Linked DNA regions of Pelodiscus sinensis. The protein of the gene in region 2 purifies or fractionates together with the protein of the main gene of each other region. This does not show direct contact. Links are inferred from orthologs where the notes say so. Each region holds a gene or a part of one and is shown on either strand. Other genes may lie near its edges.

Region 1 (7,424 bases), on a different chromosome or scaffold from region 2:
ACCTAAAAGTGATGTAGAAACCAAGCTTGAGAGATATTTTCCTTTCCTATTTTATGTTGTAACTTTCCCTTAGAAACAGCTGGTCTCAACTTTCCTGAAAGACCTCAAAACAAAGTTACTTTCAAACTTGAGTATTTCCACATGAAGGTTGAGAAAACAAACCAAAGTTAGAAAGTATGCATTCCTTCAAGCTGTTTTACCTATTCTGTGGATACACAGGACTTAATTTTAATAATCAAGTCAAACATCTACACTCATGAAATAATGTATTCAAAAAAGTATATTAACATTCTAAAGGAATCAATTATTTCTGCAACTTTTAAATAAGTTGCATGTAATAATCACTGCCTACCTGAGGATAATGGAGACTAGTTATTATGCACTGATATCTTCTCCTGTACTATATTAAATCCACATGAATACCTATTTTCTTCAAGTCATGCCTTGTTTATATGAAATGAAAAGTCAAGATTTCAGGAGCAGAATAAATGCAACACAGCCCTTACTAAACAGAAGGGAAACTTATTTATTAGTTGTGGATTTTATTACATCTATTGAGATTTAGAAAACCATGAAGTATTAGTTCATCCGGATATGCATGTGTGCACCTGCCAGTAACTAACCAAGCAGGAACACTCTCGTTATGTTGTTTCTTTGCCCATTCTCACTCACAAAATTAAGTTTAGCAGACTTGGCCTTCAATAGAAGGCACCCTAAATCCAATTTGGGCTTTACAATTTCATTGTTTGTCAGCCTGAGTCAGGTCTGTTTCAGGCAAAGGCTCCTTAATGGCAGACTTCATTCCAGGGAGACTAGTCCTTCTCCGGGCTGCAGTCTCTATCTTCCGCACCAGATCAACATCCCAACGATAGGTTACAAAACTAACTACTGTCCCAGGCACCTTGCTCCCCACACGTCCAACTCGCCCCACACGATGGAGATAGTCCTGTAATGTGGAAGGGAAGTCATAGTTGACTATTAGCTCCACATGGCTGGTATCCAGTCCACGGGAGGCTAAGTCAGTGCAGATAAGGACATTCCTTTCTCCCTTCTGGAAGGTAGTGAAAATTCCTGCTCTCATCGCTGCAGGCATTTGTCCCTGTAGCCTCAGGTGCTTGATTTTGTGGTCATCTAGGATGTAGCCTAACCAATTGACTGTGCTAGCACTGTTGCAAAAGACGAGAATGGCTCCACTAGACGGACCAGGGTTTTTGATGAGCTGAAGTAACTCAGACACCTTGTCGCTGCCTTTGATGCGGATGAACTTCTGCTGGACATGGGGAAGGAGGTGGTGCAAGTTCTTGCTGGTGAGGGTGAGGAAGCGGCCTAGGTCGGTGAACTTGCTCAGCAGCTGTCCTAGCCCATCAGGGAAGGTTGCCCCAACGATCACTAGCTGGGTTTTGGTGTCCCACTGGCCAGCCACCTCTTTGGGACTGTGGGCAATAGGGGCTTGCATAAGCACTTCCTCCACGAGATCCAAGAAAGTGACATCCAGCAAGGTGTCAGCCTCATCCAGCACCAGACAGGATAGCTTCTCCAGTTTCACCATCCTCTTTCGCAGTGCTTTGCACAGAGCCCCAGGCGTGGCCACCAGCAAATCAGCATCAGGATCGGAACGGAGCTGGTTTTTCACACTGGCCATGCCCCGGCCGCCACCAATCTCCCGCACCCGTAATCCCAGCGGACGGCCCAGAGATGCGGCCACTGTGCGCACCTGCTCCGCCAGCTCCCGGGAAGGCAGCAGCACTAGGCTACGAGGGGAGGGTGGCCACGATGGGCCCAGTGAAGGCCGGGCCAGAAGTTTCTGGAATAGGGGGAGCAGGTAGGCCAGAGTCTTGCCGCTACCCGTCTCGGCAGCGCACAGCGCATTGCCCCCGCGCAGCAGGGCAGGGATGGAGCGGCGCTGCACGACCGTGGGCTGGCTGATGGAGAGAGCCTGCAAGGCCGACACCAGTGCCGGCTCCAGCCCAAGCGCCTGGAAGGAGTCATCCCCGCGGTCGGCCAGGGAAGGCTGCAGGGCCGGTGCCTGGCTGTGGGAGCGCTCCAGCTGGAAGTAGTCCCCGCACGAGCGCCGATGTTTCCAGCCCGCCGAGACCAGGAGCGGCCGCTCCCAGCGCCCCACTGTCAGGCAGCGAGGCTGGCTTAGCTGCGGCCGCCGGCTCCGCAGCAGCAACTGCCCCGCCCGGGCCGGCACCACCGGCACCCCGCGGCCCCGCCTGGGCGGCTTCCCAGCCAGCCGCAGCTGCAAGGCCCGGGGGATCCGCACCACGTTCTCCGGGGGCTGCCCGCCACCGCCCGCCGGGCCCTGCACCCAGCGCAGCAGGAGGAGCGGCTCGGCAGCGGCCCGGCGGGAGCCCAGCACCAGCGCCCCGGCCTTGCGCAGCGCCATCCCGGCAGCGCAGCGGCCACGTGGGGGAAAGGAAAAGAGGCGCCCTCCGATGACGTGTGCTACGAGTGCGGGGAGGGGCGCATGCGCATTGGGAGCCGAGCCGGCCTAGGTGGCTGCCGCAGGAGTTGCGCGAGGTGCCGTTGGCAGGTGAGCGGGCGGTTAGCCGGAGGGCTCCAGCCTGAGGATCCCTGCGCGGGCCGGTTCTCCACGGTCGCTGCTGCTCCCTGGGCCGCGCCCCTTCTCCTCAGCCGCCCAGGGATCCTTCCGCCCCACCCCCGGGCTGTCCCGCGGGGACCGAGTCCGCTCCGGGGCCTTCCCTCTGCCCCGGGGCTCCCGCTGGGCTGCGCCGCTGCCTACCACGGGGCTCCCTGCTGGGATCGGCGCTGGCCCGCCTGCAGGGCAGCAGCCCCGCGTCCCCGTCTGGAACGTCCCTGTGCTCTGGGCCCGCCCCGCCTGGGGCTTCCTAGCGCTGCCCTGTCTCCTCCGCCCGGCGGGAGCCTCCCTCAGAGCGCCGGGAAGCGCTGACCCCGCGGCTCCCGCTGGCCAGGACTCCTAGGGGAGCACGGGGCAGCAGGGGGCCACCCGTTCCCCACCACCACCAAACGGGAGCTGCCTCAGTCCCCCTTTTAGACCCCGTATCCCAACCCCGAGCCCCCTCTTGTACCCTGACTTCTGCCAGACCCTGCACCACCACCCCATAGACTCATAGACTTTAAGGTCAGAAGGGACCATTATGATCATCTAGTCTGACCCCCTGCACAGTGCAGGCCACAGAATCTCGCCCACCCCTCTTAGAATAATCCTCTCACCTATGTCTCAAATATTGAAGCCTTCAAATACTTTGAAGGCCCCAACATGCAGAGAGTCCTTCAGCTGTGATCTGTGCCCAATGCTACAGAGGAAGGCGAAAAACCTCCAGGGCCTCTGCCAATCTATCCTGGAGGAAAATTCCTTCCTGACCCCAAATATGGCGATCAGCTAAACCCTGAGCATGTGGGCAAGACTCACCAGCCAGACACCCAGAAAGTTCCCTATAATGAATGGTCAATTAGTTACCAAGATCATGTTATTTCATCCAACCATCCCCTTATCATAAAATCATAGAACTGGAAGAGACCTCAGAAGGTCGTCAAGTCCAGCCCTCCGCTCTAGGCAGGACCAATCCCATCTAAATCAACCCGGCCAGGGCTTTGTCAAGCCGAGACTTAAACACCTCTAGGGATGGAGACTCCACTACTTCCCTAGGTAACCCATTCCAATGCTTCACTACCCTCCTAGTAAAATAGTTTTTCCTAATATCCAATCTGGACCTCTCCCACCACAACTTGAGACCATTGCTCCTTGTTCTGCCATCTGTCACTACTGAGAACAGCCTCTCTCCATCCTCTTTGGAACCTCCCTTCAGGAAGTTGAAGGCTGCTATCAAGTCCCCCCTCACTCTTCGCTTCTGCAGACGAAACAAACCCAAATCCCTCAGCCTCTCCTCGTAGGTCATATGCTCCAGACCCCTAATCATTTTGGTTGCCCTCCGCTGGACCCTCTCCAATGCGTCCGCATCCTTTTTGTAGTGGGGGGCCCAGAACTGGACACAGTACTCCAGATGTGGCCTCACCAAAGCCAAATAAAGGGGAATAATGACATCTCTGGATCTGCTGGCAATGCTCCTCTTAATGCATCCTAATATGCCATTAGCCTTCTTGGCTACAAGGGCACACTGTTGACTCATATCTAGCTTCTCATCCACTGTAACCCCCAGGTCCTTTTCTGCAGAACTACTACTTAACTGGTTGGTCCCTAGCCTGTAACTATGCTTGGGATTCTTCCGTCCCAAGTGCAGGACTCTACACTTGTCTTTGTTGAATCTCATGAGATTTCTAGTGGCCCAATCCTCCAATTTGTCTAAGTCACTCTGGACCCTATCTCTGCCCTTAAGCGTATCTACCTCTCCCCCTAGCTTAGTGTCATCTGCAAACTTGCTGAGGGTGCAATCTATCATGGAAGTCCCCTGCCCTGAGCTCCCTCCCACACTCCTAACCCCTCACCCATCCCCACCACAGATTGGCCATGTGCAGAATGAATTTTGTCATGTGCACCCATATGGACTCTATCGGTCTGTCTACGCTGCAATCCTCTTTTGAGAGGAATGCAAATGCAGCGGAGCGAAATTGCAAATGAAGCATGGATTTGAATTTCCCATGCTTCATTTGCATAATCGCGTCCGGGCGCTATTTTGAAAAACCCTATTTCAGAAAAAGAAATGCTGTCGAGATGCGGTGGTGTCAAAAGAAACCCCTTCTTTTGAAATTACCCTTATTCCTTATAAAATAATCTGAGAAAATGTGGGATTCGTCCATTAACCAAATCCATTTTCTATCAGAATGAAAAAGCAACCTGACAACTTATTTTAGTAATAAATGGTGGATTTTAAAAAAGCCCATGAATTTCATTGGTTGTGGGGGAAGGAAATTTTGATTCTACATGTCCCTTGGTAGAGAAAATGTTTCTCTCATTTGTTTTGCGTTTTGTTTCAGAGTATACCACAAAAGGAATGACTGTGAACATTCCAGCACTCTGTTTTGGAGGCAAGAACATTTTGGCTCCCATGGTGCGGGTTGGAACATTACCCATGCGTCTTTTGGCTTTGGATTTTGGTGCTGATATTGTGTACTGTGAGGTATGAAGGCTAAGGCGATGGGGAGGCTCTGTTTTCTTACCATGTGATGACAACATGAAAAATATTGGTTTCTCAGTAGGCATATCCTCATAGATGTTAAAGGGATTAATCTTGTTACTGTATGGTCAACAAACTTTCATATGTAGACTTTTATTTTTTGAGTGCTTGTTCAGATCGATTCCAATCAAGTGTGCATGCAAGGACAATGGAAACTTTTTCCCTTAGCAGCCCTCATCAGATGGGCTGAGGAGCCCCCTAGAGTGACACCCTTATGGCACTCTATATATGACCTTTCTGACCCAGCCCTCCTTTAGTTTCTTCTTACCATCTGTGGTGGCATTGGAATAACATTCACTTGTTTGCAAGTGCTCCCTTAGTTTTAATAGTGTTAGTTGTAATACTTTTAGTATTACAGTAATAGCATTAATAGTTGTTGTCAGCAGTTCTAGTTCATAGGTGGGCAATAATTTTTGCACAGGGACCACTTAGTGAATTTTGGTACCTGCTCACAGGCCAGCTCCACCTCAGAAGGGGCATGGTCTAGGGTGGAAGGGGTGGGACCTGGGGACTAACCCCTCCCCCAGTTGTTTGGAGCTGAAGGCTTTGAATTAAAAACATATCAAAGGGCTCCCAGTTCGCGGGTCCGCTGCTACCGCGTTGCTTGGCAGCCGCCAAAGGTTGCTGCAGTTATTTAAAGGGCTCACAGCTCCAGCCCCTGGCAAGGTAGCACTGCAATTGGAAGCCACGAGCCATGGGATCTTGCTGCTTGAGCCACCTCCTGGAAATTTGGTGGCACAGGGAGCAGAATATAAATACAAAGCAACCAGATACAGTCCTGGGGCCAAATCCAAGTGTTAGGCAGGTTGGATCCGGCCCCTGGGCCACATCTTGTCCTGCCCCGTTCTGGTTGGTAACTGAAATCATTTCTGGCCTGTCAACTGCTTGGGGCTGTGGGGCTGCAAACCTTGGGCTTTCAGGTTTGCAGTCCTTGCTGAAAGCCTATGCCAAAGAGCAACCCCCATGACTCATGTCTTGGGTGCTTGGAATGGCCGGCCCCTCATAAAAATCATTGCCCACCTCTACCCAAGGATTTGGTAAATGATCAAGGATCACAATCTGCAGTGATATTAATGGAGGAAGTGTGGGGTCTGAGATGGAGGTTGGGTACAGAAGGGAGCTCAGATTAGGAGGTTGGGGTGCAGGAGGTGATGTGAGTTCTGGGAGGAAGTTTGGGTGAAGAAGTTTGGTGGGATTTGGGTGCAGGGTCCAGGAAAGGGATGGATGCAGGAGCGGGGGTGCAGAGGGTATGGGGTATGACCTATCATGGGGGAGCAGAAGATTGGGGAGTGGGAGGTTGTAAAGTAGGGATGTTAAGACGCAAGTAAATAGCTAATCGTGCAGTTGATAGAATTTCTGTTGACTACTCAATTAGTCGATAAGGGAGGAATGCTCGGAGTTACCACTTGTTGCACCTCTGCAGTTTAAATATAGAATAAGCCGGGCAGGCAGGCAGGCAGCCTGGCTCCTACTACATTTAAACTGCAGAATTGCAGTGGGGATGGATCCCAGACCAGCACAAGCTGTTCTTGCTCAGTCCCAGCTTGTGCCAGGTCCAGCAGCCACTGTCCACAGGGGGTCCCAATGGGGAGCTGGAATCCCCCAAGGACAGGGGCTGCTGCTGAAGCAGCTCCTGTTCGTGGACAGCCCCGGAAGATGCAGATAGGGTCTGCTCTGCTGGATGTGGAGCAGCCACCCCTGCCCCGCCCACCCTGCACGGGGCAGGGGCAGCTGCTCCAGTGTGGGAGGAGGGCAGGCAGCACCGTGGAGATGGTGTTGTGAGGAGCCAGGTTTTAAGCTGGCTGCCCACCGGCTCCTGCTTCCCAACCCCTTGCTGCTTCTGATACAGAGGTAGCAAGTGGGGAGATGCAAGTAGTTAAGTAGTTGACTTGACTGCTCGCATACATCCCTAGTATAAAGTGCAAGTTCTGGTTGGGACGCACTTACCTGGGCAGCTCCCAGCCAGCAGCCCAGTGCCTTCCATGCCCCTGCACATCCCTCAGAGTGGTGGCTGTGGGGATGATGTGTTTGTCTGAGCATTGTGAGCCCTGGAAGGTGCCTTCTGAGCGCTGCAGGTACCACAAACATGGCCCAGGAAGTTGCTGGCTAATTGGAGCTGCGAGATTATGCTGGGAGCAGAGGCACACGCAACCCCCCCTCCACCTCCCTCTGGGCTTGCAATGCTCAGAGAAGCACATGGCCCCTACAGCTGGCTGCTTTGACCAGCATATAAGCATGAAAGGAACGGAGTATTCCCAGAGTTTCCACTTGGACACTGCACAGTCGTGGCCTGAATCTGGCCTG
Region 2 (8,015 bases):
TTCTGAATGGCCCCTCCGGTCCATACTCAACAAGGTGCCCCCTCTGTTCACTCAGGAGAAGCTCAGAGCGGGAGGGGGGGATATTTCCCCCAAAATAGGCCCTGGGCAAATCAAACAAGTCACAAACTCCCCTGCCTCTGGAAGTTTATTGCCTCTGAAATCTACTGTAACCCCCACCCTGCTCCTGACTCTCTGGGTGTGTCTGCAGGGCAGGGTGTATCTTGAAAAAAGCTATGCAAATAGAACTACGTCAATTGTGTATCTTATTTCAAAATAGGGAGTGTCTACACAGCACTGATTTCCAAGTAGAGCCCTCTTCCTCGACTGCCCTTCTGCCTGGCCATGAGGGGTTCAGGCGTCGGAGTAAGAACTCCTCCAGCTTGACAGTGTTTTGACACTGTTTCGAAATAACTGCCGGCTGTGGCTATGTCTACATTGCACTGATGTATCAGAAAAAGGTATGCAAATTGTGCCCTGCATTTTGGATACCTTTGTCCAATAGTTTTTTCAGAAGAGGCTTTTCTGAAATTTGGGCCATCTACGGCTGTGTATAGACTGCAGGGTTTTTTCGAAAAAAAGTAGCCTTTTTTCGAAAAAACTTCACCTGCGTCTAGACTACAGCTGTGTTCTTTTGAAATTAAATCGAAAGAACACGGCTTTTCTTTCAATGGCGGTAATCCTCATTTCACGAGGAATAACGCCTTTTTTTGAAAGCGTTCTTTCGAAAAAAGGCGTTCTTGAATGCAAACAGGGCTTTTTCGAAACAGAACATCCAGACTGCCTGGGTGCTCTCTTTCGAAAAAGCGGCTCACTTTTTCGAAAGAAGAGGTTGCAGTCTAGATGCTCTCTTTGGGAGAGGCTTGCAGCCTAGAGGTAGCCTACACTGGGCCAAATTTCGGAAAAATCTCCTCTTTCGGAAGAGCCCTTCTTTCTGGCGGGAGGGGGAAGACAGGGCTTCTGAAATCTCTTCCGCTTTTTTTGTTTTGTTTTGTTTTTGCGGAAGAGCAGACCCGTTCCCTGGAAGCCCTGTACCAGCGTAGACACAGCCTGCATAGCCGAGGAAGTCATTTCGGAATAGCGTTGCTGTGTCGACGTACCCTCTGCTGGGGAGGTTTGCTCCCGCCCCTGGGGCTGCATTTCTCCCCCTGCTGGGAGAGTTTGCAGCGGTTGCACGGGCAGCGGGGTGGCGCTTGCCCTTCTGAACCTGCCCCGTGTGTCCTTCAGCCGACAGACGCGGCCAATTATCAACGACCCAACTGGTGCCCATATTACAGCGGCGGGCGGCCCAGGGACTCGATCCATCGGATCCTCTCCTCGTTCAGGGCGCGCCTCAGCCTCACGGGGAGGCCCCGAGAGCTGGCCGCGGAGCCGAGCCCGCCCCACCGGCGCCAGCCGGTCCCTGCCCACGGGCGCTGTCCCCGCCGGCTGCAGGCTACCCGGAGCCGCCCGGGCGAGGGGCCCAGAGGCCGCAGCGCCCCACCCAGCGCGGGGAATGTCTAGCGCCGAGCGCGGCCCAGCGGCTTTCAGCACCAGGGACAGCGGCAGGCGGCCGGAGCCCGCGGGCCAGCACCCTGGACAGCGCAGAACCCCCCAGTTAGGGCGGGACTGACTTCCCCCTGGAGCGGGGCGGCCGGAGGGCGCTAGCTCGGCCCGCGGGCAAAAGGGACCGCTGGCTCGCAGCCCCCGCCCCCGCCCCGTGCCTGCCCGGGGTAAATCCGTGGCGAGGCAGGAGCCGAGCTACGAGCCAGAGACCGGCCTCGCGGTCGCTCGCCCCCCGGCAGCTCCTGTGCGGGGCAGGCTGCAGCCAAAGGGCTCAGCGAGGGGCAGGCGACAGCGGAGACACCCCCGGGGCGGCGGGTCCTGGCGCACAGGAGAGGGAGCAGAGGGACAGCGGCCCATCCGGACTTGGGGGGCTCTTTCGGGGGGAGTCCTGCCAGCCCGGGCGGCACGGCCCCGCGCAAGCCTCTGAGCCCCGGTTCGGTGCCTGCTGGCTTTGGGGCCCGCCGGGGAGGAAGGGCAGGAGGAGGTTCCCCCACCCCCACCCCCTCGGCCCTGCGGAGCTTACAGCTGGGTCGGGAGCAATTGCTCCGCGTGTGGGGGGGGGGGGGGAAGCGCTGGTTGGTCTCTTCCCACCGCAGCTAACCCCGAAAGCGGCGGCACCCGCAGTCCTGCAGGTTCCGCCGCCGCTTGGCAGGAGCTGCCGGCCCGCGGGGAGCTGGCTTTAAGGATCCGGCTCAAATGGAAACGCTCCCTTGGGAATGAAGCGGACCAGGCTCGGGCCGGAGCTGGCATTTCCTGGCAGGCAGGAGTGGAGATGGGTGTTTGGGGTGGGGAGGGAAAACCCTTCTGCGAGTGTTGGGGGCAGCGCTGGAAGCAACGTAACAAGTCCCACCGGCCCTGTCCTATCGCAGCCCGGTCCCTCCAGCGCTTCGCCTGGCTCCCTGCGGGCCTTCTGCCGCTCGGCCAGCTCTTGCCGGAGCTGCGTACCAGGGCGCACCCGCTTCCTTTCACCTCCGCTCCGACCCCCCAGGGAGGAAGGGAAAGGTCCCGTGCGGGCTCGGGTTTGCAGGCAGCCAGGGGCCGGCGAGGCAGGGTGGGGGGACGGGGCGGATCGATTGCAACGGTGCGTCCGCGTGGAGCAGCCCCGGTGTAGACCCGAGACTGTTCCCCGCCGCTCTCCAGAGCCCCCCTTCCAAAGCCGCGCGTGGCAGGTGCTTTGTTGGGGGATCCGGGTCCGGGGGCACCCGAGGGGGGACCTTTGCCTGCTCGGCCATCACTTGGCCCCGGGGCGGGGGGCAGGGCCTGGCTAGGAGGCGCTGTCCCTTTAAAAGCGCAGCGAGCGGCACTGTCCAGTCCGAGGCGAGCGCCGGAAATGGAGCCGAGCCCGGGCGCCGCGCTGGTCACTCGGCCATTGTCCGGGGCCAGCCATGAAATCGCCCCCCGGGGGGGCTGGAGACACCCACCCCTCGAAGCTCGGCTCCCCCCGCCCCTCCCAGGCGGGGCCTTCGGTGCCGGAGGCAGCCCCTCCCCCCGCCCACCCCTCCCCTCCCCCCGGGCAGCCTCAGCCGGCGCCCCCTCCCCCCAGAGCCAAATGGGTCATTTCCGCTCCAAGTCTGTGCGGGCAGCGAGGCGGCCGGAGCGAGCCGGGCGCTCCCAGGGCTACGGGAAGCGCCCCCCATCCCGGCGCAGGGGGCGTGAAGCCCCGGACCCAGCATTTCCCGGGGGGGGGCGGATTTCCCAGCCAAGAGAATCCCTTCTCCGGTGCGCGCCCCCCCCCGAAGGGTTCCCCCTCCTCTGCTCGCCTTGCGCCCCCCCCGTCCGCCTCTGCCCCCCACCAGCCCGGAGGGGCTGAGCGCCGAGTGGGGTTGGGCCCACTGGCCCCCGGGGGGGGCGTTTCAGGGTAACCGGGGGTGTCGCTGGAGCCGCGTGGCTTTCTCCGGCGCTTTCACACGCTCGGTCCCCGGGTCCCGAAGTTTTGCTCGGCCCGCCCCGATCTGCCCCCCTCACCCTTTGTTCCCCAGCCCCGGGAAGGGGGGACCGCGTCGCTCGCTGCCCCGCACCCCCCCCCCCCAACCAGCCGCCTCGCGGCCGTCTCTGCCCCTCCAGCCCGGGGCCTGCAGGAAAGCGCCGGGCCGGTTCGGGCCGGCCAGGGGGCTCCGGGGGACCCGCTGCCCGGCCCCAGCGCAGGTGGTTTCGGATGAGTCCCTGGCGAGACCCGCCCTGCCCAGCTGCCCGCCTGGCTCCGTCGCTTTCCGAGTCGCCCCGGGCTCTTGCAGGAGAGGATCCCCGGCCCCTGCGCTCGGGCACGCCGCTCTCTCCTGGGGGGGAGCGGGGGAGGCGCGGAGGGGAGACCCTGCGAGGCGGGCTGGGGCGGCCGCTCTCATTGTACAGAGGTCAGCGAAAGTCCTGCTGATCATCTCCCCGCCAGAGGAGGCAGAGAGGCTGGGGGAGGGGTCGCAGTGGCCGGGGGGGGGGGGGTAGAGCGGAGAGCAAAGGGGGCTGGGGGGAGGCACAGTGGCGGGGGGGGAGTAGCGTGGATAGCATGTGACCTGGGGGGGTTGAGCAGAGAGCAAAGGAGGTTGGGGGGGGTCTCAGTGGCCTGGGGGGGAGAGCAGAGAGCAAAGGAGGTTGGGGGGATCACAGTGGCCTGGGGGGGAGAGCGGAGCGAAAAGGGGGTTGGGGGGGTTACAGTGCCCTGGGGGGTAGAGTGGAGAGCAAAGGAGGTTGGGGGGGTCTCAGTGGCCTGGGGGGGAGAGCAGAGAGCAAAGGAGGTCGGGGGGGTCTCAGTGGCCTGGGGGGGAGAGCAGAGAGCAAAGGAGGTTGGGGGGATCACAGTGGCCTGGGGGGGAGAGCGGAGCGAAAAGGGGGTTGGGGGGGTTACAGTGCCCTGGGGGGGAGAGGGGAGAGAAAAGGGGGTTGGGGGGTTACAGTGCCCTGGGGGGTAGAGTGGAGAGCAAAGGGGGTTGGGGGGTTACAGTGCCCTGGGGGGTAGAGGGGAGAGCAAAGGGGGCTGGGGGGGTAGAGCGGAGAGCAAAGGGGGTTGGGGGTTACAGTGCCCTGGGGGGTAGAGCGGAGAGCAAAGGGGGTTGGGGGGTTACAGTGCCCTGGGGGGGAGAGGGGAGAGCAAAGGGCGTTGGGGGGGGTAGAGCGGAGAGCAAAGGGCGTTGGGGGGGGGGTTGAGCGGAGAGCAAAGGGGGCTGGGGGGGTAGAGGGGAGAGCAAAGGGGGCTGGGGGGGTAGAGGGGAGAGCAAAGGGGGCTGGGGATCCATTTTTTGCCTCGACAGGTAGTTTCTACCGGGGCTTGGCCCACTGGGGGGGGGGGCTGTACTCGCAGGGTGGCCTCCCCCCGTTAAAACAAAAGCCCCTCTTGGAATGTCTAATTATTGAAGGGGGGAGCGTGGCGGACGGAGAGGGGCGAGCGAGACCCCCACCAGGCTAACCCAGAGCCCCCCCCCCCCTTCAGCAGGGGGCTGGAGCAGGCAAAGGGGGAAAGTGAAACGAACCAGGCCGTCCCGCGGCAGGGCCGAAGGTGACTCCCCCTCCCCACCCCTGGGAGGGGAGAGCTCGGGGCGGAGGGAGGCGGGGGCGAGGCTCCGGGGGCTGCTATTGTCTCTTAGAATTTGGGATCCTTTGAAAGCCCGTGGGCCCTCCCACCGCTATTGTTGGAGTGAAGATGTAGCGAACCTCCCCCTCCCCTCCGCTCCGCTCGGGCTGGAATCTCTTTTGGGGGCCGCGCCGCCGGGACACCCTCCGGGCTGGCTGCAGCGAGGAGGCGCGGAGGGGGAGCCAGGCACGCCGGCGAGGCTCGCGGAGGGGGTGCAGGATGGGCTCTGTTTCCAACCAGCAGTTCGCAGGTTCGGTGCCGCTTTCCCCAAAACTTGGCGGGTTGGCCGCTACCCGAGAGGAGCCGCGCGGGGGGGCGGCTCGGCTCGGGGGAAGGACCCCTGGGCGCAGGAGAGCGGAGCGAGCCCCCCCCTTTGACGGCGGGGAGGGGTAGTAAATAAACCCGGGGCCGGGCCGCAACATGTGCTTCGCTCCGGGGCCGAAGTTGGGGGCATTTTTAAAATCCTCTCCAGGTTGGGTGACTCGCAGCGGGGGGAGTGAAGCGTCTTTCAAAGGCGAGAGCAGCTGGATCCGGGAGGCGCAAACTTTCCCGGGGGGGGGGGCGGTTCTCTTTGATTTGGCCCCTTTGGCGGGGGGGGGGGTCTGTGGCTCTTGGATCGACTGGGGGTGACTCGCCCCTGGCTGCCATCCGCAAAACAAGACACCCCAGAGGAGACTGACCCCCCCGGCGATCACTTGGGGGGGTCCCGCGGGCCGGGTTGGGGCTTGGCGTTTGATTTGCTCCCTACCATTGTGAGGTGGCTTTAGGGGGGGACACCCCCCAGCAAAGGGGCTGGCTGTTTCTCCAAGGCGGGCGCGGAGCCGGCTGGGCAGCAGCGGCCAGGGGGGGCTCCCAGGGACTCGGGGGGTCTCCCGGGGGGAAGGGCAGAGGCGCCCGAGGGAGGCTCGATCATGCGGCCAGGCGCCAGGCGAAGCCCCAGGCCCGCCGGATGGCGAAAGCGGCCGGGCTCCCGCGCCCCCAGCTGAGCGCGTCTCGCGTGTATGGTTCCAGGTGGCTGCGCGAAGGCGGGCGAGGAGCCCGCGGGAGACTCCCCCAAGCCCGAGGGGGACTCGCAGCCCCTGCACGGCGCCGGGATCTGCAAATGGTTCAACGTGCGCATGGGCTTCGGCTTCCTCTCCATGACCAGCCGGGAGGGCCTGGCGCTGGACCCCCCCGTGGATGTCTTTGTGCACCAGGTAAGGCCGGGGGCGGGGGTCTGCGAGGCCGGTGCCCCCCCCCCCCCCGGGGGTTGCGCCCTCCCGCCGGCCCTAGGCAGGGCGCCGGGCGGTTGCAGGCCTAGGGCGCAGGAGGCTCCCGCCCGGGCAGCGCTCTGGGGCCGCTGCCCTGCGTGGGGGGCCGGGGCGTTCCCGCCCCCGTCCTGGGGCAGCATTCGGGGGCCGTTCGGCTCCTGCCCCCCCCCCGCCAGCTTCATCCACCTCACGGTGGGGGGGCCCCGGGCCTCTTGGAGTTTCTGGGGCTTGTGATCGTTCCCCTCAGTCCCGTTCGCGGGGGGCTGGGAGCCGGGGCGGGGGCTCCCTCTGGGGAGCCTGGCTCCAGGGGGATTTCTGCCTGACCCCATTGCCGCCCACAGTGGAGCTGCCAGAGGCTGGGGGGCTGCAGGCAGACAACCTCCTGCTTAAAGGGGACCCCCGTGGGGAGGGGCAGTGGAAATGCCCCAGGCCTGCTTGCATTGGGGGAGGGGCAAGAAGTGAGCTGAGATGTGGGGGGCCAACCCATTAGCTTCTCTAGAAGTCGGGTTCCCACCCCCCATTCTCCATGTCAAGATGGTTTCATCCCCCTCCCCGTGCTCCACCTATCCCGCCTGGGCCCAGCGATAAGGCCCTTCCAGCCCTGGCCTGTTTTCATTCCGTCCCATCAAGAGGACCTGGCTCCAGGCCCCACCAGCCCCTGGCTTTTAACAATGGGGGGGGGGGGTTGGCAGTGCCCACACTGAGTGAAAATCCGTCCCTGTTGCGGTGCAGGGCTTTGTCCTACAGACCAGGCACATGGGTTTGGAGAGGCAGATCTACGCCTGCCAGGCACCGGGCCCTACTCCGGCCGCTACCTAGGCTGAGATTGTTTCTCTTGGACTAGAGAGGCAGAAAAAACCTAACCTCCCCTCCCCCAAGACGTTTCCCAGCCATGCTATCGAGGGAATGGGGTGCAGGGGGTGTGGAGCAGGCCAGGTCTGGGTTTGCATCTGCATGTAACAGGCTTATGAAACCTGCTGTCCAGGCAAAGGCCAGCCTAGGGAAATGGCCGTTGGCTTGTAAAAGGTCCCTGCGTGTGAGGGCCAGGGACTCCGGTAGCCTCAGGTCACGGCTCATGGGGCACAGAGGCAGGAGAGGCTCGGAGAGCCAGGGCCGAGCTCCCAGGGAAGTCAATGGGACCGGGGTACTTTGCTGAATCAGCACTCGCACCGCGGCATAGGTGTGTGTGTGGGGGGGGCTCTACTTTGCTTAGGGTGCATCTCCCCGGCAAGGGGAGGGGTGATTGGCACATGGGAGGCGCACCCGGCTGCTCCAATCTAGCCATGCGGGGTACCAGCTGTACTGCAGATGCAATGCACAGGCTGGCAACCAGGGTCCCCACTCGGCTTACCCTCTGGAGGCTAGTCCGTGCCACCACAAGCCAGCTAGATTCAAGCTAGCACTGCCCCCATCCCCCGCCGCAATCCTGCAGGGTCGGCGCCTTCTTGGAGCCGCTGTCTGTCTGCACCATCTGTGTGCTGGTTCTGCACCTTTCAGAGGCCTTAGCCCCCCTGGGATCAGGGGGAGCCAGGGTCAGCCCCTTCTGCCCGGCCAGTCTGGACAGTGTCGGTTGGCAGTGGGGCTGGTTGAAGAGGGATTGTTGTGGCTGGTGTGAGCAGCGCGTAGGCAGTTGATTCCGGGGGAGCCCCAAAGAAACAAGA
Region 3 (7,158 bases), on a different chromosome or scaffold from region 2:
TCTCTGCACCTGTGGAGATGTACAAATATTACAGAGAAGCATTATCAGAAATACCTGTATTGTGGCATACAGTACTTCTCATAGCAGAAAAAAGCAACCCTGATAATTCTCAGTTTTTCCTGATACTGCTCTTTTTGTTGCTGCTGCAGAAGTACAGGAGCAAAGACCTGATCCCCCATTTCTTCAGTGGAGCTTTTAAAAATGGGGATGAAAAAATAGCACAAATATGAAAAGTGTTCTCCCATGCTACCTGCTCCTGGTTTTAAACATTTAGCTTTCAAGACACAGGAGTCCTTCCTTTAGGGTTTTCTGGAGTTTGCATGACTATCTGGGGGAGAATGGCTGAAAGAAGAAAAGTTTGAAGTAGGGATGGGATAGTGTCTGTCTGGGCTCATCAGTTAACCTTCATAGTTACATGCAAACCACACACCCCCTCTCCTGCTGCTGTATCAAAGGCAGCAGCGTGGCATGCATGGGGAGCCAAGCAGAGGCAGCAGCGGGGTGGGGAGGAGGGCTCCCTGCGCACACGGGCTCCTGCAGAGTGGCTTCCCCCCACGTGTAAATGTGTAATTGGTGAATTTTTTAGCAGTAACATGCTTATTAAAAAAACCTCCTCATTTTAACATCCCTAATCCAGGTTCAATGATCAGCAAAATGAATATAGCATGTCATCTCTTAGATAGGTTGTTTTCTACAGTGAAGGGTGGGTTTTTTGCGGTAGGGAAAGTCTAGCAAAACCTTTAAAACTATATTGTCTGCTTCGTGTCTCCAAACTTTTCATTATACATATTTTCAGAACATAGATTAGTTTCTTCCATTCTTGCCTAGAATACTCCAAGTGAGATATCTTGGAGTCATTGTGGATAGTCCCTGAAATGTGCAGTTGCAGTTGAAAAAGTACAATGTTGGAAATCAGTAAGAAAGGGATACAAAATAAGACAAAAAATATCATATTGCCTCTATATAAATCTATGGTGTCCCCACATCTTGAATAGTGTATACAGATGTGGCCACCTCATCTTAAAAAATAAATACTGGAATTGGAAAAGGGTCAGAAAAAAGCAACAAAAGTGATCAGGAGTATGGAAAAGTTGCCATATGAGATGAATACTACTGGAACTTTTCAGCTTGGAAAAGTCATCACTGAGCAGGATATGATAGAGCTCTATAAATTCATGACTCGTGTGGAGAAATTAAATAAGGAAAAGTTATTTACTCCTTTCCATATAATGAGAACTAGAGATCATCAAATGAATTAAGCAGCATGTTTAAGACAAAAGGAAGTATTTCTTCACACAATGCACAGCAAGTCTGTGAAACTCCTTGCTAAAGAATGTTGTGAAGGACTATAACAGGTTTCAAAAAAGGGCCAGAAATTCATGAAGAATAGGTCCATCAATGGCTATGAGCCAGGATGGGCAGGAATGATGTCCCGAGCCCAGTGGTCTCCAACCTTTTAAAGTATGAGAGCACTTTTTGAAGTTAAGTGCAATCTAGGATCTACCTCAAACCCAAATACCTTTGTCTCACCTCCTTTGGGCCTCTTCTCCAAGGCCCAACTCCTGCTCACTCCATCCTTCCTCCCACCCCCATCCTTCTTCCCTTTCATCAGGCAGGGGCAGAGGGTTGGGATGCAGGCTTTGGTCTTGGACTAAGGAATCTAGAGTGTGAGAAGGGCTCTGAGCTGAGTCTGGGGCAGAGGTTGTGGGTACAGGAGGTGGTTCGGAGTAAGGCTCTGTAAGGGAGCTTGGGTGGGTGGGGGTGCCGCTCAGGGCTAGGGTAGGGTTTTGGGGTGCAGGAGGGGGTACATGACTGGGACAGGGATTCAGGATGCAGACTCCAGAGGGACATTGCTTACCATAGGTGGCTTCTATGTGGTGGTGCAGTGAAGCTAAGGCAGGCTCACCTCTGCCCTGGCCCTGCACCACTCACAAAAGCAGCCAGCAAACGCCCTCCATCCCAAGTCCTGTTGTCAAAAGCAGCTCCACACCCCCATTCTGCGGAGATAGGGGGAAAGCTCTACGGCAAAGGGCAGGAGTTGCACAGCAGTGGGGAGAGGGGCAGCTGAAGTGCCTGCACTTGACAGCCTCCTGGCCAAACCAGTCAAAATCACCTGTCAGAGGCTCCAAGATCTACTGGTAGATCACCACTGCCCTAGCCTCCATAAGTCAGAAGCTAGGAATTCCCTGTTCATTCCCTCTGTGATACCTGGCATTGGCCACTGTTGGAAGACAGGATGCTAAGCAGTGGGACCCTTGGTTTGACCATGCCTGTCTGGCAGGCACCTTGCCATGCACCCAAGAAAGCTCAATGATCAAGAGCTTTCTTTACCCACACAGTGGGGGGAGGGGTCTGACTGCAGTATTTGTGCAGCAGTTGCTGAGCCCATGCCCCGAGGGGCTCACAAGTGAGTTAGGGGTGCGCGGGTGCATGACCGAGAGGCCACACAACAGTAGCGGACAATGGGCCCCTCGCTGCCAAGGAAACGTCCCGCGGGCCAGAGAAGAGACGGAGCCCGGGCGGGGGAGGGGCCTCGGCGGCCTTTACCTGCTGCCTCTCGGCTTCTTTGCTTTTCTGGCCCTGCTTCCGCGCGTACCACAGCCCGATGTCGCGGCCCTTGAGGTGACCGGGATGCCGCCCCCGGCCCCCGCCGCCGGCTCCCCGGCCTCCGTGCCCCCCCGAGGAGGAAGAAGGCCGAGGCCCGCCTCCCCCTCCACGGCTCCAGTCCCTGCGGTGCTCGAAGCTCATTCTCCTCCGCTCGGGTCGCCGCGCGGGGCGGGGAGCAGCCGCTGAAAGCCGGCAGCAGTGCGTGGCGGAACCGGAAGCCCACCGGCTCTTTCCACGCCTCACTTCCGGTCCACCCCCCAACGACTCTTAGGACGCCGGCGCTTCCCTATGACGGTTGCCATCACGTTCCTGTAGGTGTGTGAGCCGGGCACGCGCCGCCTCTTCATTCCGGGGGCGGGGCGGCGGTGAACGCGTTCCCGGAGGCCGGCTGCCTGCCTGGTAAGAAGACAGACCCGGGTTCTAGTCCCGGTAGCACCTAGGCGCCCCCTTCTGCTCCGCGAAACGTCGTGGTTGTCTCACCAATGAGCTCGTTAAGCTGCCATGACGCCCGTCCACTGCTGCCTTCATAGTGCTGTGCTTGTCAACGTGCGCAAGGCAATTCCTGCTGCAGGACCTAGGAGGACAATCCTATCTACCTCCAGTGTTAACTCTGAAACCTACAGATTACACGAGTGTCCAACCTTAGCAGTCAGAAGAGTGTGAAGTGTGGTGGTTCCTTCAATCCCATTGCTAGTCCTGTGGCTGATAAGAATACTTAGGGCCCACTTGAAGTACTGTTTGTGTCCTATGTCATTAGAGTGTGGAATGTAGGACCCACTCTAAGTATCTTATCAGCTTCATTTAGCAGGGACAGGTTGACAATTTTGTTCCTTTCCACTCCCTCTCCCCTTTTTTCATCTTCTTCCCCTTCATACTCTTTCTGTGCTATTGATTTGAAAACTGAATCCCTTAAACTCCATTCATCTGAAGAAGTGAGTTGTGCAAACAAAAACGCATGATACAACTACATCTCTAATTGCAAACTAATGGTCCTTATATGCTTCTTTTAACTAGCCGGTTTTTAGATGATCCGTTTTGCCTGTTACATACCAGCTCAGTTTTCCCTTTGTTATGTCTAGACTGCAAGCCTCTTTCAAAAGAGGCTTTTTCAAAAAATACTTTTGAAACAGCTTCTTTAGAAAAAGAGCATCTAGACTACAATCAGTACTTTCGAAAAAGCAAGCTGCTTTTTCGAAAGAGAGCACCCAGGCAGTCTGGATGCTCTCTTTCGAAAAAGCACAGTTTGTATTACATAGCGCCTTTTTTCGAAAGAGCACTTTTGAAAAAAGGTGTTATTCCTCATGAAATGAGGAGTACTGCTGTCGAAAGAAAATCTGCATTCTTTCGATTTAATTTCGAAAGAACGCGGCTGTAGTCTAGATGCAGGTGAAGTTTTTTCAAAAAAAGGCTACTTTTTTCAAAAAAAACTTGCAGTCTAGACACAGCCTTTATGTATATACCAACTACCTCCTTTTGTTCCTCCCCCCCCTTCCCATTTTTTTCCTTTCCCTTCCTCTCTCTCCCTATTCCCACTATTTATTTTGGTTTTGGTTATACAACATTCCAGTCAGCTGAAGAAATGGCTGTGCCCATGAAAGCTCATGATGCCATCTACAATCATGTTTTGTTAGTCTTTAAAGTGCTACCATACTATTTGTTGTTTTTTAAGTTTATCTACATTTTTGTTAGTCTCTAAGGTGCTGCAAGACTATTAATTATTTTTAAAGCTTTTTCAGTTACAGACTAACACAGCTACCTCTCTGAAACTGAAAATATAGAATAGGTCTGATAGATTTAGGACAGTGGCTTTGAGGGGTGCCACTTTATCTGGGCAATAAACAGCATACATCTAGTTCATCATATTGTCATAACTGATCTTCTATCACACTGGGACGTGTCATGCACTACTTAGCAACTCTTGGTGGAAGAATAAACATCCCTAAAAAAGAAGGAAATTGAGAGAATTCTTTAATCAGGCATGGAGAAACTTGTCAGGGAAAACAGCAAAAGCAGATATATTCTGCTTGGGTAGCCTTGCTGTTAAAAGACGTTGGCTGATGGAAACAGAATGATGACAAGTAGTCCTGTAGCACTTTAGACACTAACAATATATATATGTGCGCGCGCACACACGCACATATATACACACAAGGGATGTGAACGACTAGTCGACTATCTGATAAGCAAATGCTTCCCTCCCCCTTGCTGCCTCTATCAGAAAGAGAAAGTGGGGAGGAGGAATAAAGGAGGGGTGGTTCAAAGCAGCAGTGCCGCATGGAGCTTGGAGCTAGACTTTGGGCTCCGTGCAGTGCTGCTGCTTTGAAATGCCATGTGCACCCCGGGGCTAGCCCATGTGGTATGTGGCGTTTCAAAATGGCAGGAGTGCATGGAGCCTGGTGTCATCTGACTCCGAGCTCCATGCGACACTGCCGCTTTGAAATGCTGTGGGGAGCATGGAGCCTGTGGGGGCCTGAGTCTCCCGCTGGCCCTGTGCTCCCCGCAGCACTTTTGCCTTTGAAATGTAGCAGCAGTCCTGGGGAAATTGTGTTGACTATTCGATTAGCCAATTAATCTAAATTTAACGTCCCTAATATACACATACATAGAAATTAGAGAGAGAGAGAGGGTGTATCATGAGCTTTTGCAAGTAAAGCCCACTTCCTCAGATAAGCAAGGTGGAGAAAAAAAGGGGAACTTCACAATTTATAACAGAAAAAGATGGGAGAGGGGAAAAATACCTGTCACTTGTGGTGCTGGTGCTAATGAGGCTAATTGAGTGGGCTGGAAGTGTCCCATACTTAGCTATTGATGTCAATTGGGTGTTGAATATAAGTTCATGTCTTTGTTCAGCGCATGAGAAATAGTGTCAAATTTGCACGTGAAGGCCAATTCCACAGTTTGTAGTTGGTTTTTGAAGCATAATGGCTATCTAAGAGATTTATTTGGACAGTTTAGGTCAAACAACTTGGCCATCTCAGCTAAAATCCAGGCTCAAAGCTTTGGATGGGGTACTTGTCTTTACTTTTAATATACATTTCTGACTGTCTATGTTTTAGAGAAATATTCTGTTCAGACAGCTAATGTCAACTTAAAGATTTCCAAACGTTTTAAAACACTAACCCATTTCTGATTTTCCATATAGGTGACACACCTTGCTGTAATATTGTACAAAACCAATGTTCCATTCCCAGAATAGTTTTTCAGGGAGCTATCCTGTCAGAGGTGACAACTTTTGTGAAAGATAATCCATGCCCCATAGTTAGAAAAGATTTCAATATTACTTTGCACAAGAGTACAGGTATTAATGCCAGAGTCATCTCTAAATACAAATATGAGCAGTTACATTCTACCATCTTCAAAATATGCCCTCTAGTTTCAACTGAAGATCTTATTTACACTTCCCCTTATTGAGGCTATTAATATTATGAGTGTGGAGGAAGGAGCAGTATGAAATGTAATTCTCTGATTTATTGTTAAATTATAAATCTTATAAAAATATCATGGCTCAGGATGGATGTTTCTATTATATTTTTAATATTCTATCTACATTTAAGCTACTAGTTCTGTGTGGATTGCTGCTTTGTGTAGTATATTTTATCCAAGCTCTCTGAAGTGTTAAATTCATCCTTTCAGATTATTAGTCTTTCACTGTTCATTAATGCTCCTTTTGTTGCCTTGAGTAACATTGTGATGCTATAAATGGCTCTTGGATCTCATTTCTCTGCAGCATTCTTTGCCTTTTCTGTTTGGTTGTCAGTCTTTCACTCTTCACAATGTATGTTTTCTTATATTAGTTTAAAAGTTATCATTCTGATTCTCCAAAATACCAGCTGTCCAGTGCACTAGTTTCCCAATTTGTTCCATGTTAACAAACACCTCTTAAGACAGGTCTGTTCTCATAGACTAATTTTCCTCCCTAATCTCAATGCTACAGTTTACCCTTGCCTAATCTTACAATTCTAGCACTCAGTTACATAAAATAATAGTGAGACAGCACTCTGAAAACAAGATGAAAATAAACCAGATACATAACGGGGGCATCTGGCAGTAGCTGCTTGATTACATAATTCACAAACAGACAAATTCATAACTGAATCCTTCTCTCTCACTCTCTTTTAATGGTTCATGTTTTACATTGTGATGGAAACAACTCTGGACACAATCTATAAATGTTGCTTTCGTGATTTTAAAAATTATTGGAGCACTGGGTTTGAGAATGCGTCTCTCTTTCCAGAGTTCTTATAGCCATATATCCCTTTAACTAAAAAGGGAATCTTTAAAAGGGTAGTAGGAGTGTTCAAAGTCATCACTGTACAAACTTAGTACATTTCATACATTTCCCCAGTTTCTGTATGTAGTTGTTTTCTGTGAAGTCCCAGGCATGCAGACAACAGGAGCAAGAGCTTTTCCGGCCCCACTACAGAACTGGAAGCAGCCAACTCCCTCAATTTTAAGATAGATTTTAAGGACAGGGATGGAGGGGGTCTTTGCAGACCTTGCCTCTGAAGATTGTATTTGGGGAGGGGCCAGCCAGTCATCTTAGATGATATT
Region 4 (7,102 bases), on a different chromosome or scaffold from region 2:
CCCACCGGGGCCAGGCGCGCAGGACGCCCCGGAACCGAGCGGCAGCGCCAGCACGAGCTTCTTTCCGGGCGAGCCGCCCCCAGAGCCCCCAGGCCGCCGACTCTCCCCGTGCGCAGGGCAGGCCAGGAACGGGGCCGCTCACCTTTGATCTCCTTCATGTTCATCCCTTTCAGGGCCTTCCCCGCCTGCAGGATGTTCTTGAACTGAAGGAAGGCGAAGCCCCGCATCTTCCCGTCTGCAAGACACCGCGGCTCAGAGCTCACCGGGCCCAGGAGGGGGGAGCCCCGGGCTCCACACCCCCCCCCCCAGATACGCTCGGGGAGCCTGCGGCCCCAGCAGCTTAGTCTGTTCTAGGAGTGCTGGGGGGCGGGGGCAGAGGCAGCTCCCCCCACCCTGGATTCCTGCAACGCTGGGGGTGGGGGGACGCTGCGCTCGGGGCGCGGCGCAAGGCCCGGGGAACAGCCCACACCCAACAGGGGCTCACGAGGCGGCAGCCGGGGGCAGCACACCCCACCTGTCGCAAACGGGGCTTGACCGACAGGCTGGGGGCTAAGAGGCCACAGGCCAGGACAAGCCCCCTGCACGCCCCGCGGCAGCCTGGATCCGACTGGCCCTGCGCGGAGCAGCAGGCGGCTGAGCCCTACCTGCCTTGCGGGGGATGTTCACCTCCAGCACGGCGCCGAAGGGCGAGAACAGAGCCCGCAGGTCGTCTTCGGAGCACTGGGGAGAAGGAGCCGTGTCAGAGCCGCGCAGGGGCTGGGCTGAGCAAGGAGGGGCGCAGGGAACTGAGCACACCGAGGCCGACCTAGTGCCCTGCCAGCTGGAACCCTCCCTCCGTGGGGAGCTGGGTAGGACCGGGGGCTCCCCTCGGGCGAGAGGGTGCCCTTAGCGCCCACGCGCGGCTCGGCCGGGCTCCGACGCGAATTTCACCCTTTGCCAAGAGAAAGGCAGCGCCGGTGCCAGGTTACAAACCCCGGGACCCGCTTCGAGCGGCTGCCCGTCACATGCCAGCTCCCCCCATTTCGCTGCGCCGCTGTGGCTACCAGCCACAGGCAGCACCAGCGCCGCCCCCAGCTGCGACCTCACCTCGCGCGCCAGGCACCCGCTCGCCCACCTACCTGGAAGCTCAGGTTGCGGATGATCAGCCTGGCTTTCTTGGGGGGCCCTTTCGGCTTTTTCGGCTTCTGCTCCCCTGGAGGGGTCTCCGGGGCACCTGGGAACAGAGAGCACGGCATGGCAGGGCTGCTCGGGCGCCTCTGCCCCACGGCTCCCTTACTTACAAACACACAAAAAAAAACAAACAAAAAAAACAAAAAACAAAAACAAAAAACAAAAACAAAAAAACACAAAACAAAAAAAAAAACCACACCCAGCACGAGTCAGGACACAGCAGGGGAACCCCCGTCCCATCACCACCCCAGAGGTCACAACCAAGGACACAGGCCGTGGGCACAGAGAGGAGCCCGTGGCCCGCGGTGCCCCATAACCACAGAGCCAGGCTGCTCTCAACTCACCAGGCCGCTTCTCCTTCAGCTTCTTCTTGGCAACGGTCACCGAGATGGCACGGCCCTCGAAGGCGGTGACCTCCCGGAGGGCTCGCTGGGCGTCCTCCAGCAGGGAGAAGGTGACGTAGCCAAACCCACGACAGGTCTCGCTGCCTGCAAGAGAGGGGCAGCATGACCGGCACCCCACAGACCCAGGCTCTGCCAAAGGGCTGGGAGCTCGGGGCCTTCTAGGGCACCAGGCTTCGCCCAGGGGAGGCCCCCTCTCAGGAAACCAGGATACCGGCCCAGGGCCTGGCCCACAGAGGGACAGGAGGCCTGGCGGGGGCAGGGTCCCCCCAGGCCAAGGACCCGCTCCCCTCCCGGGCCCAAACAACTCAGGGAGACTCCAGCTGATCCAGAGGCCGCCTTCTCCCCCACTCCCCTGAGCTCGTCCAGGTGCAGACCCCCACCCCCGCCACGGCAGCCCTGCCCCCTCCCACCAGACCCAGCTCCCCTGCCCTGAGCTAACCCTGTTCTCCTCCCCCCCGCCCGGCTCCTGCTTCCTCAGGCTTGCGCCCCAGCCCCTCGCACCACGGATCCGGCTGCCCCCCCCTTCTCTAGACTAGACCCCCACCCCACAGCGACTGCCGGTTCCCCCTGCACCCAACTTCCGACACCCCTGCGGCCCCCCCCGCCCCCCGGCTCCAGCCCCCCTCCCCGACACCCCCCCCCGCCCTCCGGCTCCAGCCCCTCTCCCCGACACCGCCCCCGCCCCACGGCTCCAGCCCCCCTCCCCGACACCCCCCCCGCCCCACGGCTCCAGCCCCCCTCCCCGACACCCCCCCCGCCCCACGGCTCCAGCCCCTCTCCCCGACACCCCCCCCAGCCCCACGGCTCCAGCCCCCCTCCCCGACACCCCCCCCGCCCCCCGGCTCCAGCCCCCCTCCCCGACACCCCCCCCAGCCCCACGGCTCCAGCCCCCCTCCCCGACACCCCCCCCGCCCCACGGCTCCAGCCCCTCTCCCCGACACCCCCCCCAGCCCCACGGCTCCAGCCCCCCTCCCCGACACCTCCCCCGCCCCACGGCTCCAGCCCCTCTACCCGACACCCCCCCCAGCCCCACGGCTCCAGCCCCCCTCCCCGACACCCCCCCCGCCCCACGGCTCCAGCCCCTCTCCCCGACACCCCCCCCAGCCCCACGGCTCCAGCCCCCCTCCCCGACACCTCCCCCGCCCCACGGCTCCAGCCCCTCTACCCGACACCCCCCCCCAGCCCCACGGCTCCAGCCCCCCTCCCCGACACCTCCCCCGCCCCACGGCTCCAGCCCCCCCCCACCTTTGTGGGTCACCACGAAGCAGCGCTTGAGCGGGCCGAGCTGGCCGAAGATCCGCTCCAGGCCGGGCCCGCGGGCCGAGGGGGGGAGGCCGCGCACCAGCAGCGTCAGCCCGGCCATGGCCCCGGCTCCGGCCCGCACGTGCCGCCCGCTGGGCGCCGCCATCTTGGCCGGGTCCGGCCGCGAACGGGGACCGGCCGGAAACGCGGGGCCGCCGCTGGGTTCCGGCGGGGGGCGGGGCTGTGCCCAGGCTGGGCGGGGGGGGCGGGGCTGTGCCCAGGCTGGGGGGGGAGGGGGGGGCAGCCCGGCATTACGGGCCTGAACTTTGACCTCAGTTTCACCCACTGGCAATAATGACCAAAAAATAGGGACACCTTAGCCCCGCCCCCTGACACCCTAGCCCCGCCCCTGATCCCACAAGCCCCGCCCACCTGCTACAGGAAGTCCGGTCCCTGGGGTAGTACTTCTGGGGTCAAATGAACACATGGCCAGAAGCAAAGGGTGTCATGTGACCTCCCCCCCCCCCCCAAGAACTCCTCAGAGGGATGGGTTGGGCCCCATAGGAGCCCCCCATGCAGCTGTCCCGCAATTGCATTAACCCAGGCCCCAGACGCTGCAGCGCTTGGGGCCCAACCTCCATCCCAGAGGGGTCCAGGGTCTCAGCCCTGTTACTTGGCAGGGAGATGCCGCCCCATTGGCCTCGGGGCCTGGGGATCATCCGGAACGGTCCCACAATGTCATGGGACGGCTCCCTTCGTCCTCTTAACAGTGCCTCGCAGGGGGCTGGCTCCCCACCTGCTGCGCCCCTCAGAGGACCCTCTGCAGCCAGGGGCGGCTCTTTTCCGGAGCAGCCCCTGTCTCTTGGGCCCCACAGTCGGGCTGCGCCAGTGTCCAAAGCAGCCTCTCTCCAAGGGTCCCGCTTGCTGTGGACAGGGGCTGCGCCGGAGCAGGCTGGGAGCCGGGGCAGACCCGGTGTGACCTGATATTAACCGGGTAACTGATGAATGAGAATTTACATCCCTAGTGAGACGTCCTGCAACTGCATTTTCTGAAGTTATTGCAAAACTATCAAGTGTTCTCCGTTTCCACACGCCAGAACGACAATACTAAACGACCCATGCCAATTACGGGGTGCAGGGGACCCTGTAACTAACCCTCCCCACCATTGTTTGCATGGTACATTGCCCACGAGGTCAATGGGGCTGGGCTATTTTATATGTAAAGCTACTGAGATATGTCTGTGTCGGTACCATGATGGCAGTACCTGTATCATATAGATAGTAGCCCAATGTCTGTGACTCTGTAACGCTGAAATGCTGGCTGTTCCCTCTGGGCGGCGCTGTTGCCTGAGTCACATCCTTCGCCTCCTGCCGTGGCACTTGGCTGACTTCTGCGCCGCTCAGCCGGGCCGCCGTGGGAGAGCCCAAACGGCCACTGGAGGCATACCTGGGTGGTCGACAAATACCTTTGGGTATGTCTACACTACCCTCCTAGTTCGAACTAGCGGGGTAGTGTAGACATACCCTTTGATGTCGACACCCGCGCGTCCAGACTATCGCGCTGAGCCGACAAACAGCTGATCAGCTGTTTGTCGGCTCAGCGAGGCAGCCATGTACATTTAAATGAAGCGGCGATTATTTAAATCGCCGCTTCGTTTTCCTATGTCTGGTAGCCTAATCTACATGCCTCTGGCAACAGAGGCAAGTAGTCTAGACGTACCCAGAGAGAGAGGCAGGAGGCGGAGGAGAGCTGAGAGAGAGGGGGGGGGATGCAGGAGGTGGAGGAGAGAGAGAGAGACGTGGAGGAGAGACCCCAAAATCCCGTCTTATGATGGGCTCTTGGCTAGTTATGTAAATAATATCTAATCATAATTGCCAAACGAGACCACTTCCCAGACTGCTAACAAAGGGCCTGATCCGATTTAAATGTTAAGCTCGGATTGGGCCCTAAACAATCTGTTGATATTGCCCAAGAAGATCCAGTTAACATTTAGTCACCCATCACAAATCTAAGGGACCCGTCAGTCAAAGCCCCACGGCCTGGTAGCGATCTTTGAAGGAAATTGCAGAGACTTTGCATTGACTTCTTGTGACAGCAGCGCTTTCTCTCACTGGCCGCAGGGTCATTAGCACAGATTTCAACTTGTGTCACAGTAGCTCCCAAATGAGTTGTCACAGCCAATTCCATTCCGGTCTCGGCAACGTGCAGCCCAAAGACAGAAGAACAAATCCCTTGAAGCTGGAAGTCAAAACGTCTTACCTCTTCCGAGCTCACAAAGGGCTTGTTCATCCACACACAAGGCATGAGAACCCCCTCCGGAGAGAGACGATACATCCTGCCTCTCTGGGGATGCACCGAGTGTTTTCACCTGGCTTCTTAACACCCTGTTTAAAATCACCACCTGCTTGGATGAGGAAAACTCACAGAAAGTCCGTCCGTCACCCACAGCAGAGCGACACGGTGATTTCACGTTGTGGTAACAGCCGCGCTCTCTCTGTGGGCTCTTCTGGAGCAACAGAAGGTCGGGGGAGGTCTCTCGGGGGGCGAGGCCGGGTGTGACGTAGTGGGGGTACCTGGCTGGTTTCTATGCTGCTGGCTCTGGGGTAACCCCCACTGGCTGCCGTGGGTACCACGACCCAGCAAAACAGGATGAGTCACTATGCAAACCACTATGGCCAGACACCCCCCATGGAGAGGAACAAAGGAAGGTGGATGCTGCCCTGGCTGGGGGGCAGGGCTGGAGGAGTGTTAGTTAGTTGCTGGCTGGAATCATGGAGGAGACAGCCTAGGGAAAGGGGCTGGAGTTTAGGGGCCCGGTCTCCCCCATCTCAAGGGGGGCTGAGGCATCCTAGCCCAGCTCTGTGACCAGATTACATCTGTGCTGTGCTGTATCCTGGAGAGGCAATAAACTCCCTCTATTCCACCGGCTGGTGCAGTCTGTTGGTGCCATTTCGGGGTGCAGGAGACGGGGGACCCCCAACGCGCCGTCACACCGGGGTACCTCTCTTTCAGCGACCCCCGGCTCAATGGAAACCTCTCCATGGACCGCCAGTTGCTAATGGAAACTCACAATTATACCTCAGCCATTTGCTGGCGCGGCCGCCAGGGAGAACGGGTTCATTTCGATTCTTACACCGACTAAGTGTTTTCACACTCTATGCTCCTTTATCAAACTTCATACAATACTCATTTACGTCCAACACAAAAGGTTTCAATGGTTCTGTTATTTATGTGGGGTGTCCCGGCGCGTCCGAGACCCCCCGACCCTGCACCCCCGTCCGTAGCCAGATGCGACTCCGCCAGCCAGGGCCGGCTCGAGCCAGTCTTGCGCCCCGGGCAGCAAACACACGATGCAGGCGCGGCTCTGCCCCCGGTGCACTGCACACCTGACAGCTGCAATCCGGCGTGTGGTGCCTGATGGCAGCTCTAAGGGGCACTGCGTGGCTGGGGGCGCGGCGCCCCTTACAGCCGCCATCAGGCGCCCCCCATAGGTTGGTGCCCTGGGCAGCTGTCCAGCTGGCCCCGCCGCCAGCCAGTGGAGTAGAAGGTTTATTTGCTTCTCTGAGATGCAGCCCAGCCCGGGTTCGATGTGGATATCGGAGTAAGGGGGCAGCAGCCTCAGACCCCTTGGGGTGGGGTCCACAGGCCCCTGAGCCCCCCCCACTGGATTTAGTCTCATCTCTTCATGATTGCCCAGCCAAAAACTGCCCCTTCCCAAAAATCACCCAACACCCATCCCCCCAGGTCGCCGCGCCCCTTCCTTTGTTCAAACCCTTCCCCTGGCCGGGTGAGAAACCTTGGCTGGTCATGGTCTACATGCCGATGCTCAGCCCCCCCCCCCCTCCCCCCCTCGCCGGGCCGTGCTACAGACACGGGCCAGTAGGGGGCAGCCCAGCCCAACACGGCCACCAGTGCCTGCCCCGCCGGCGTGGGCCCAGGGCCACTGGCGTAGACAGCCCCCCCCATGTCACAAGGGTCAGGGGTCGTAGAGCCACCGAAAAATCAGTTGGGGAGCCCACGAGTGAGAAGCAAAAGCGAAACGCCCAACCCCCACCGAGGCGGCCCCCAAGCGAGACCCTCAGTCCTCCGGCGATCCAGCCCCACGGCGTGAGGGGGGCAGGGAGAACTGAGGGTCGGGGCTTCCCACGGGCCAGACGTTCTGTTCTGGTGGATTTTATGGAACCCCCTGAGGTTCTGGGGTGGGGACAAAAGTGAGGGGTTCGGTGGGCGGCATAGGGCTGCCAGAGAGTAGGGCAGGGAGGAGCTGCGGGGTCTGGGTGGGAGC

The links.
Region 1: the proteins of LIN28A (region 2) and DDX28 purify together in Homo sapiens (co-immunoprecipitation; 3 studies listed by BioGRID and IntAct, with this or other methods). This does not show direct contact. The link is inferred for Pelodiscus sinensis from reciprocal best matches to the Homo sapiens genes LIN28A and DDX28.
Region 3: the proteins of LIN28A (region 2) and DHX36 purify together in Homo sapiens (affinity purification with mass spectrometry; 3 studies listed by BioGRID and IntAct, with this or other methods). This does not show direct contact. The link is inferred for Pelodiscus sinensis from reciprocal best matches to the Homo sapiens genes LIN28A and DHX36.
Region 4: the proteins of LIN28A (region 2) and RBM28 purify together in Homo sapiens (affinity purification with mass spectrometry; 3 studies listed by BioGRID and IntAct, with this or other methods). This does not show direct contact. The link is inferred for Pelodiscus sinensis from reciprocal best matches to the Homo sapiens genes LIN28A and RBM28.

The regions. Positions count from the first base shown.
Region 1 is NC_134722.1:36,993,875-37,001,298, forward strand, and holds DDX28 (putative ATP-dependent RNA helicase DDX28), read right to left. Parts: upstream 2,469-7,424; 5' UTR 2,390-2,468; coding exon 740-2,389; 3' UTR 503-739; downstream 1-502. Other genes in the region: DUS2 (tRNA-dihydrouridine(20) synthase [NAD(P)+]-like), read left to right, coding at 4,938-5,063. UniProt on the Homo sapiens protein: Plays an essential role in facilitating the proper assembly of the mitochondrial large ribosomal subunit and its helicase activity is essential for this function. May be involved in RNA processing or transport. Has RNA and Mg(2+)-dependent ATPase activity.
Region 2 is NC_134735.1:1,938,663-1,946,677, forward strand, and holds the start of LIN28A (protein lin-28 homolog A), read left to right. Parts: upstream 1-5,010; 5' UTR 5,011-5,323; coding exon 5,324-5,354; intron 5,355-6,115; coding exon 6,116-6,300; intron 6,301-8,015. UniProt on the Homo sapiens protein: RNA-binding protein that inhibits processing of pre-let-7 miRNAs and regulates translation of mRNAs that control developmental timing, pluripotency and metabolism.
Region 3 is NC_134720.1:28,816,597-28,823,754, forward strand, and holds the start of DHX36 (ATP-dependent DNA/RNA helicase DHX36), read right to left. Parts: upstream 3,001-7,158; 5' UTR 2,749-3,000; coding exon 2,548-2,748; intron 1-2,547.
Region 4 is NW_027465922.1:770,825-777,926, reverse strand, and holds the start of RBM28 (RNA-binding protein 28), read right to left. Parts: upstream 3,014-7,102; 5' UTR 2,983-3,013; coding exon 2,820-2,982; intron 1,659-2,819; coding exon 1,515-1,658; intron 1,214-1,514; coding exon 1,119-1,213; intron 721-1,118; coding exon 645-720; intron 236-644; coding exon 143-235; intron 1-142. UniProt on the Homo sapiens protein: Nucleolar component of the spliceosomal ribonucleoprotein complexes.